Saccharomyces cerevisiae S288C: one gene and its partners. The gene in region 1 interacts genetically with each later gene. Each region holds a gene or a part of one and is shown in the gene's direction. Other genes may lie near its edges.

Region 1 (3,453 bases):
CCTGCAATATTCATAGTTTCTGAAGTAGCAATAATCCTCGAGAATATCCAATAATCTTGACATTTGACTGAAAATCAGAACTCTAGAACCTTCTTCCTTCAATTTCTTCAATAACTTATCCAAAACTTGAAGTTTGGCAGCGTTATAAACCAAGTGCTCATCCGTAGTGTACGGTGGACCTGGCTCAGCACCATCGAATAAATATGGATGATTACAACATTTTCTAAGTTGCATCATGATATTTAAAAGTCTTGTTTTGGATTCCTTGCTGCCATTAGACCCGTTCACAGCGTCCAGATCCTTTTCCAAAATCTTTTTGTACCATTTCTTCTGCATGCTAGACATACCGACATATAAATTCAGTTCCTTTTTAGGCAGTAAGGATGTTTCCACATCGCTTTTGATACGACGTAGTAGAAAAGGCTGTAAAACAGTGTGGAGTTGCTTGACAATTTTATCCTGATCTTCCTCTGTGCTTTCAGAAGAAAACCAATCGTCGAAATCTTGTGCATCGGAAAAGATATCTGGTAACAAAAAATTTAATAACGCCCATAGTTCATGCAAATTGTTTTGCAAAGGAGTACCAGTAATCAACAGCCTATTACGTGAGGTAAATTCCCTTAAGACTTGCGAAAGCATTGACTCTTCATTCTTGATTCTGTGAGCCTCATCAATGATAATATACTCCCAGTTAATCTTCTTAAGGGGCGACTTTTCTCTTATAATAATTTCATAAGAAGCAATCACAACATCAAAGTCACAACCTAAAAGTTTTTTTTGGATCAGTTCAGCTCTTTCTTCTTTATCTCCTTGCAAAATAAAGGCGTTTACGTCTGGCGTCCATCTATTTATTTCTCTCAGCCAATTATTTAAGGTAGACTTAGGCGCAATGACTAAAAATGGACCTGGAATTTTTTCAATGTACCTAAGATATCCCAGAAATGAAATAGTTTGCAGGGTCTTACCTAAACCCATTTCATCAGCAAGGATACCCGCTATTTTGTTCTTATGCAGAGACACCAACCAGTTGACACCTTGGATTTGATAAGGTCTCAATTGACCATTAACGTAAGCAGGTGATTCTCTGAATTGGAATTCAATGCTCTCATCATCATCCGAGTCTTCTTCTTTCAATAATTCCGCATCTTCTTCGTGTTCAGTCTTTCGTCTACGAACATCTTGGTGTTTGCCTTTGCCTTTGCCATTTGCTTTATTTTCTTCTAATACATCTAAGACCTGCCTGAATTTGGGATCTTTAGCGGCTTTACTTTCAATAAAATGCTTGAATAAACCACTCAAGGATAGCAGATGTTCAAATCTTTTTGTAGTGCCTTCCAGATCAAACTTTTTACCATTAGCATCCTTCAGCAGGTAACGTTTTTTATTCGATTCAGGATCATGTGGAGGGAGACCGACCTGGAACGGTTTTAAATTCTCCAAGTACTCTTCTGAAGCAGTCATAATTGAACCAGATGAAATACAATCGTATTTTTTTTTTTCTTGCAAAAATATGGCGAGAATAATTTTGAATAGGTTCTCATCTTTGTCCTTTTCATTGCAAGAATTGTTTTCGTGTTTTTTTCTCATTCTAGTATAGAACTTGAAAAAGTGAAAATTTGCAATAGCTAACATATAGGCCATAATAGGGTATTTCTACATCCACCTCTAGCTGGTTTTTGCATAGCTATACATATGGACTCTATTCAAGAATCAGATGTACTAAATGCAGTGAAAACAAAACTACCGCCGTGTTGTTTGAGAATATTCAGGAATAAGATCATCCTTGTTGGGACGTATGATTTAGATAAGTCAACTGGATACAGGTCAGGCTCACTGGATGTCTTCACAATGGACCTCAAACTTTTATGTTCGAATAATACGTATGGCGCAATCCTAGATTTGAAGTTATCCCCCTTTGATGATACATTGATATGCACGGCCCATTCGACAGGTAATATCATGCTATGGAGGATACGGTGCACAGATAAGGATGATTTCCAATCAAACGAACTAGATATTCATGCAATTGCAAATCTACAACTCTTTGAAAAAGATGTTCTCATTGCCTCGTGCCATTTTTCCCCACTTGATTGTAAGAAATTACTTGTAACAAATACGGCAGGCGAAGCAGCTACCATTGATATAAGAACACTATCTGTACAGTTCACGGCATCAGCAATCGCGCAGGCTTACTCAAAACTAGATAAAATAGATTACGAAGTTCAAGGTGCAACCGAAAAAGTCATTCATGTTGAATCGGGACAATTTTTGAAACCCCATGAACTCGAGTGTTGGACTGCGGAATTTGGATCTCTACAGCCTTTTCAAGACGTTGTATTTACAGGAGGTGATGATTCGAGAATTATGGCCCACGACTTACGTTCCAAAGAATTCATTTGGAGTAATAATCGTATTCATGATGCTGGTGTTGTTAGCATTAAGTGTAGTCAACCTAACTTTCGAAATAATAAACCCACGTCCATAATAACTGGATCCTATGATGATAACATTCGTTCTCTGGATTTAAGGATGATGGGTGAGTCCATATTTCCTGGTGCAAATGTCCCCACAGTTAATAAATTGGCGTGTGATCTTGGTGGCGGTGTTTGGAGATTTGTTGAATCCCCCATTGATCAGGAACAATCTCACCACAACGGCTCCGATCGGCTTTTAGTTTGTTGCATGTACAATGGTGCCAAGGTGGTGACCATGAATGATAATTCCGATGAGTATTTTCAAATTCAACATTATCTGAAGAAGGGCCATGATTCGATGTGTTACGGTGGCGACTGGTCAAATTCTTTGATCGCAACATGCTCATTTTATGATAATTCCTTGCAAACATGGATAGTTTAGAAAAAAAAATTCAGTCTGCAATATATGGACTAATATATAGGCTAATATATAGGCTAATATATAGGCTAATATATAGGCCATATTTTGATGATTTCGATAGATTATGCATAAAGAATTGATAGGAAGGAACTTGCCTGAACAATAATCTTTTACTCTATATTTTCTACTTATTATACATGATTCAGAAGCTTTGTTGAAAGGGGGAAAGACCGAGCGATATAAAATTGATGAAAAATTGATATTACAGCATCAATTGACATCAATCATTAAATCATCATTAGCTTCCTGTGGATCAACAAACTCCCTGCTGGCTCCTGCCAATAGTTCTCTTCTAATCTCAGGACCGATATCTTTATGGCCTCTTTGACGAACAGTTTCCAACAAGAAATCTCTCTGATCCTGGGTAATATCGTTCTTGTAACGTTGTGCAAATGTTAAGAAAGCCTTGTGCCATATCACTGGGAGTACTCTTGTAGCATCTTCCCCATTACTACCGTCATCCAAAATTCTAAACCTCATAAAGTAATACACGCAGTCGTCCACCGTCTGGTACGGTAAAGCATATTTTTTATCGAGCAATATTTTGATAAAAACAGT
Region 2 (2,286 bases), on another chromosome or scaffold:
ATCTGGAGTTTCCACCTGGTAACCGTCAATAATCTTTTGAGCAAAGATACCATACTCATAACGTAGACCATAACCCCAGGCAGGGATGCCTTCCGTTGCCATTGAGTCGACGAAGCAAGCTGCAAGACGACCTAGACCACCATTACCTAAACCTGCGTCCGGTTCTTGGTCCAAGACATCCTCTAACTTGAAACCTAAATCATCCAAAGCCCCTTTAATCATTTCTCTTGGTTTTCCCTTTGAGGCAGCAGGGTCTTCCGGATCTTCAATCTTCATATTAATCAGGGCATTATCCAAAGCCCTACCCATCAAAAACTCCAAAGACAAATAGTAAACTCTCTTTGGGTCTCTTGTGGTGAATTTCTGCTGAGTTTTGTTCCAGTCAATGACCAAATTGTCACGAATACTCATCGAAGCAGCTTCATAAGCAGCCATGTCATCACAATTATATAGGGAACGTGCTAATGTAGTTTCCACATGGTCAATGAATCTATCTTGAAAATCTTCTGCCTTGTTAAATTTTTTGACTTGATGCTTATTCCATAACGCTCTTGACTTTAAAGGAATCATCGTGTCAATTGACTTGATTTCTTGGGGAAGAAACCCCGTAAGTCTCCTTGTAAGCCTTGGGATTTGGTGTGGAGAAGTAGGTTCTTCGGTTATCATATCATTGGTAGTACTAGTACTAGCTGGCGGCATTGTTCAAAATTAAATTAAGTTGAAAGCTGCTTTACTGAAATTGTAATGTAGAGAAGTCAAAAAAGATCCAATTGTTTTTCTTTTGGATATTTTTAGTAATCGTTACCTTCTCAATCTGTGCTTACTTTATATTACAATAGCAAGCAGAAAAAACTTATAATACTTCGTACGTAATCAAAACAAAAGGTACAACAAGAAACGGGAAGGCACAAAGAATCTTGCTTTACTGCTATACAAACTTCATGCTCCTTTTATACATATAATATATTCGTCGGTGTTCCTTCCTTATCTTTGTAGCATGCACATGGTAGTTATTAACCTCCCCTGAAACTTTTTTAGCGAAAATTATCCACCCCTTACTTATTTCCTCGAGAGTCTCTAAAAAGTAAAAATACAATAACGGTAATTGGGGAAGGCGTTCCTTGTTAATTCAAAATGTTATCCTTGAAACATAGAAGGTGCTGGCTGCATCTCGCAGAGCTTCCTCTTCCGTTGAGCGTTGTATTCTTCCCCCCACAGTGCTACTAGGCGATGCCGCTACCCCTTGAAGGGCCTTCCCGCTGTGGGGCAGCGGCCTTTTTTCCTTAGTGGGAAACAAGCACCGGGGTATATTTCATTGTCTATCAGGAGAAGAGATCGTATACAAATGTTCGTGAGACGGTTTCATCTTGACTAGTTGCCTTGCTAGTCGGATAACTAGTGGAAAGCAGTAGGACACTCCCGATGAGTTTGCGTTTCCACGGGGTTTGACAGAGCTACCTATTGTCTTTTTCATCGAAGGAAACGGTAGTTGGACCTTGCCTTGGATAAGTTGGTGAATCATCCAGAGCTTTAGAAGGGAGCAAAAAATAAAATCTGCGCAAGCCCGGAATCGAACCGGGGGCCCAACGATGGCAACGTTGGATTTTACCACTAAACCACTTGCGCTTGTTATTTACATGAGTGTGGTACTTCTATTGATGGTAGGTGTTCCATTACTTTTTTCGTCTTAAGATGAGCGAGCAAACACAGGGAGAAAATAAAGCGCAATTATTTACCTCATAGGGTACACAATATCCGTGAGAAAAGGATGAATTTGAAATAATTATACAGACTCCTTTTTTTTCAACGTAAAATTATAAGCATAGATTAGAGGCGCTCCTGGATAATAATAGGAACACACACAAGTAAATCAGCAATTTCTCATATCGTACTTATTCGGTAGAGTTAATAATATTCTACTAAAATAACTACTGGTAAGTAGTGAGAGCTTGATTTTTGTACTAATAACTTGTTTCAAAAAAAAAAACGAATAATCAGTTTTACAAAAATGTGTATACCTATATAAACAATCTTAGAGGTAAAGTTCTCCCTCACTAAAAATAATAAAAAATTACGTGCAGATGAGAACCCCGTCTTACCTTAGTATACCTTTAGTTCCCTTTATGACCCGATTTGAACGATAAGTCTTTTATATTTTATTTCTTCCTAAAAGAAAAATGTATGCATTGTAAGTAACTTTTTATGACCATGGTAATAATTAAAGCCGAGGGCTTGTAGATTTACCATCAAAATACCCGCTTAAGAGGATAACTTGAACTTCGAGCT
Region 3 (4,966 bases), on another chromosome or scaffold:
AATTCGGACAACTCGACAATGGTTGTCACTTCGGTCCAATCTCTAGCTGCGGTGACAAATACAACTCAATCTACTCAACAGCTAATTGGATTAGATGATGTGATAAGCTCCTCGAGTAACACCAACGAAACTTTGTCCATCTTGTCCGAATTACAATCGGGCCTATCCGGTAATTCAAGCTCCGTACAGTACATTCCATATCTCTTCAGTCTTTTAGGGGCATCCACTGATCCTAAAACAACATTTTCATCTTTAGTGACGCTGACTTCCTGGGCTCAAGAAAACCCTCAGACCTTCTTGCCCATTTTAGATATATTAGCGGATGCCAAATCCGTCCAACCGATTTCCGCAGAAGAATTGAACGCCATGACGCCGAATATACTAGAGTATCTGAAAATTCCGATTTACTATCGCTTATCCATTTTCACGCTATGCCATGCTAACCTGGAAAACAAGATCCTAGATTGTAACTCCCCACATGCTGTACAAAACTTGGATTTTAGATCGATTATTTATGACGCATTAGTCACATCAGACTTCCAACCATATCTGAACGCCCTGAATATTAGCGCCAACGATCTTTACCTAGAAGGGAAACTTTTACACAGAGAGCACCAATATGTGCCAGCAGTGAGGTCTGTTTTGGCTTTGAACCTCTTAGCGATCATCTTTTCCTTCTTTACCATGATTTTTATTATATTACTGTACTTTAACAGATATATGTTCAAACAACCATTATGGCTCATTGCCCTAGCTCTACACGTTTGCGTTGGTGTAGCCACTGTATTGGCAGCCATTATCATATCCGTTATGATTGCCATTATAAAGAGCGGTACGGCAGATGATAAATATGGTGTTGTGTTTAAAGCCGGTCCCGCCTATACAGGGCTGATATGGACAGCATTTGCGTTGTCTTTTATCGCCACAGGATTGATAATTTATACGTGGTGGAGGAACAGACGGAGTGGTCGTTACATGTCCGGATCTGTGACGAATAGGAAAGGCGAAATTTACACGTATGGGGATGGTTCTGCCATTTCTGCAGACCGTTTCGGCGACCATAACTTGGGTGATGATGATGATGCTGATTTCGAAAAACAGGTGAATCGTAATGAAATAACCGCTATCGACAACAGTAGTTCTGCCAATAATACAGATGTCACAGGTAGTACGAGTAATAGAACAGAGCTAAGTCACCCCGACGTGACACCAAAAGATTCAAATGGACCTGTTAACAATAATGCACATTTGGTAGCATAATTTTTTTCTTTTTCGTAAATGCTCTATCACTTTTTTTCAATTGTACCAAACCATTTACAGCGTTATCTTAATCTCTTATATTGAATTATAGTACATACCACACCATCATCCTTATTTAATAGCTTTATTTAAATTTCAAAACAAAAATTAATAATAATTTGGTAATTATTCATATTTTTGGAATATATGCAATTAATGTTCTTTCGTCTTTGATGTATATTCCTTCGGCGTTAATTACAACTATCACCGTAAAGTTTTTACCACCCTCCGAAAGATTAAGGGCGGCAATGAAATGTGGAGTAAAGTGAATGTTAGATGATGATATTGATGGCTTTGCTCGATCAAAGATAATATTATATTTAAGTATCATCTTGTCCTCAATCCGGTACAAAACAAACGTCTTCAACATTGTTATCTGTATTTTGTTCGTCTTGAATATGGAAAAGACTCAAAAGGGATAATAATACAATTAAAAGTTACCGAAGAAAGATTTTATAATGATCTCAACAGCTTCTGCATTTTATCAGAAGCATAGAGTAAATTTACTGCGTTCTTCATACATAATATTGTTGCTAGCCACGCTTTACAATTCAAATTCCAGTTCTAGTAACAACAAAACTGATAAGAAGGATTCTGAGTCAACGGTTTTAGAAAATAAGAAAATTGAAGAGGGAAAAGAAACCGCAGTAGATAGAGAGGAAGATGAAAGTAGCAAAGAAGAGTTAACGATAGTCTCCAAACATAGCACAGATTCAGAAGATGGTGCAATAATAATTGATAAAGAAAGCAAGACTAATCATAAGGGGGGAGAGCGAAAAGGAAAGGTAGATTTTTTGTTCAAACTTTTGCTTCATGATAAGAAGTGCCTCATTTTATTTATTACACAGGCTATTCTTCTGAACATCAGAACATTGCTGTCTCTTCGTGTGGCTACTTTAGATGGTCAATTAGTGTCCACACTAGTAAGAGCTCAATACGCAAACTTCACAAAGATATTGTTGGGGAAATGGATGATCCTTGGAATTCCCGCCAGTTTTATTAATTCACTGATCAGTTACACGACAAAACTTTGTGCTGTCACTATTAATAGGAAAGTTTCAGACTTTCTACTCTCAAAGTATCTATCTAATCACCATACTTTCTATTCCGTAGCTTCTGCTGAATCTGTTTCAGAAATTCAGGATAATTTGACAAAAGATATTTACACATTTTCAATGAACTCGTCATTATTACTGAATCAGCTATTAAAGCCAATGCTGGATTTGATCCTCTGTTCATTCAAATTATTAACCTCAAACACTAGTGTTATGGGTGAAGGAACTTTGGCACTGGGCTTAATTGTCTACGCCTCCAATTCATTACTAAAATTGATTCAACCGAATTTCACTAGGTTAACTATGGCAAGCGCATCTTTGGAAAGTTGGTTCAGATCTTTACACTCGAATCTACATTCAAGCAATGAAGAAATTGCACTGCTAAGAGGGCAAAAGAGGGAACTAGAAAACGTTGATTATTCATTTTACCGTTTGGTGCTATTTTTAAACAGAGAAATAAAGGCAAGAGCTATTTATGATGTTGCTACTGCATTTGTCATTAAATATACTTGGGGCGCAGCTGGCTTGGTACTATGCTCGATTCCAATATTTTTCAAAAACAAACCTAGTGAAGACACCTTACAGCTTAAGGAACCCGGGAATGATATGACGGCTGATTTCATCACAAATAGAAGATTATTAGTCACTGCATCTAGCTCTATCGGAAGATTTGTGGAACTGAAGAGAAATATACAACAATTACGCGGTATCAGATTGAGATTGAACAAGTTCAATGATTTGTTGGATGCTAATAAAGGTGATGACGAAAAAGAACCAAGAGATGAAAGGTGTATAGTGGAATATGATGATTCAAGGATAAAGTTTGAAAATATTCCTTTAATAACACCTGCCAATCAAGTTCTAGTACCGGAGCTAAGTTTTGATCTGAAGCATGGAAATCATCTACTAATTATTGGGCCCAACGGTTGCGGTAAATCTTCATTATTTCGTATTCTAGGCGGGCTTTGGCCGATAAGGGCGACTCCCAATAAAAATCATCAATCCAAGTTAATAATGCCGCGTAGAACTGTGGATAGAGATTGCGCAATATTTTATTTACCCCAAAGGCCGTATATGGGCAATAGGTCGACATTCAGGGAACAGATTATTTATCCAGACAGTATTGAACAATTCAAAGAAAGATATCACAATGATTATGATCTAGGCGATGCAGATTTAATAAAAATTCTGCAATTATTAGATTTGGAGGATTTAGTCACTGAAAATATGTCACTTCTGCTGGCGCAAAGGACTTCCAAAAATGATTCACAGCAGTTGTCGACGGAAGACAATCAGTCACCATGCGCCATTAAAGTTCGTGATGCATTCAGTATAGTAAGAAATTGGTCCGAAGAATTAACAATTGGTGTCCAACAAAGGTTAGCTATGGCAAGGATGTACTATCATAAACCCAAGTTTGCTGTGCTCGACGAATGTACATCTGCAGTAGCCCCAGAAATGGAACAAAGGATGTACGAAAATGCGCAAAATTTTGGTATCTCGTTAATATCAGTTTGCCACAGGACAAGTTTATGGCATTTTCATAACTATCTGTTAAAATTTGATGGTAAAGGCGGATACCAATTTGGACCGTTTAACCCGAAGGAAAGGTTATGTAATGAAGAAAAACTTCTTGAACTAAATGCCATCTTGGATCAACAGGTGCCACTTTGGGAGCGGAAGTTGAAAGATCTGACAATTGCTAAAGAATCCAACATCATTCGTAAATCAGAAACTAACCTGAATCTTTTTGAAAAGATCGAAGATCCAAAAACGTCCAAATCTAATGCATTGTTTAATGCAAATAAAGGGCAGCGAATCACATCACCTACAGGGCAGGAGACTAGTAAGAGATTACCACTATTTTCCCAACCATCTAGTTCAGCATCATCAAATTTACTAAGAAACAATAAAAGCTTGAACAAAAAAGTTAAAACAAAAAAGGAAGAAGGAAAGGAGAGGTAACATACATAGCCAAAGGAGGATCCAAATCATGTATAAATTGGATAAATAAATTGTTTTATAATAATTTAATATCTTGAGAAAGCGCTCATATTTACGGTTGATTGCTCAATTCCATGTACCGGATCCAACTGTACTGGCTTCCTCAGCCTCCGGTACCAACCTTTTTTTGTATAAATACGTAAAAATACAAAAGTCTGAACTATTTTTCCCTTTTTATGCAAATAAACACTTTCCTATATATAATTTTACTTTTGAATATTCATGTCACGACCCACTGCCTGAGAACTTTCCATTTTTTATAAAGTGAACCAAGTTTTATAGTTATCTTGAATCAGGTGAAGTTGAATGTGTTAAGATGGATGATTGATTGTTCATTACTGATGATGGAGAAGTTATACTGGCGACGTTACTTGAGGATGCATTATTATTAGAAACTTCTGTTGTGGACGAAATTATACGCGGCAAGGAATCAATTTCTTGAACGATGAATTCTCTTTCATCAAGAAAAGTAGAATCCTGAGAATCTAAACCGAAAGTTTTAAAATACGTCAATAGTTTATCTCTGTTTTTAACAAGAATGTCAAAAACAGGTTTTGACTTCCTTGGGTTTGCTACCATCACCTTGAATACGTTGAAAGCTTCAAGTT

The links.
Region 2: mutations in RRT2 (region 1) and YPR159C-A together harm fitness more than expected from each alone (negative genetic interaction), as found in Saccharomyces cerevisiae (one large-scale study listed by BioGRID).
Region 3: mutations in RRT2 (region 1) and PXA2 together harm fitness more than expected from each alone (negative genetic interaction), as found in Saccharomyces cerevisiae (one large-scale study listed by BioGRID).

What each region holds. Positions count from the first base shown.
Region 1 is NC_001134.8:709,899-713,351, forward strand, and holds RRT2 (diphthamide synthase), read left to right. Parts: upstream 1-1,692; coding exon 1,693-2,856; downstream 2,857-3,453. Other genes in the region: chromatin-remodeling ATPase ISW1, read right to left, coding at 1-1,641; snoRNA-binding rRNA-processing protein ENP1, read right to left, coding at 3,106-3,453. UniProt on the Saccharomyces cerevisiae protein: Catalyzes the demethylation of diphthine methyl ester to form diphthine, an intermediate in diphthamide biosynthesis, a post-translational modification of histidine which occurs in translation elongation factor 2 (EFT1 and EFT2).
Region 2 is NC_001148.4:859,719-862,004, reverse strand, and holds YPR159C-A (uncharacterized protein), read left to right. Parts: upstream 1-1,589; coding exon 1,590-1,691; downstream 1,692-2,286. Other genes in the region: GPH1 (glycogen phosphorylase), read right to left, coding at 1-699; beta-glucan synthesis-associated protein KRE6, read right to left, coding at 2,260-2,286.
Region 3 is NC_001143.9:85,578-90,543, reverse strand, and holds PXA2 (ATP-binding cassette long-chain fatty acid transporter PXA2), read left to right. Parts: upstream 1-1,757; coding exon 1,758-4,319; downstream 4,320-4,966. Other genes in the region: FAT3 (Fat3p), read left to right, coding at 1-1,260; HYM1 (Hym1p), read right to left, coding at 4,641-4,966.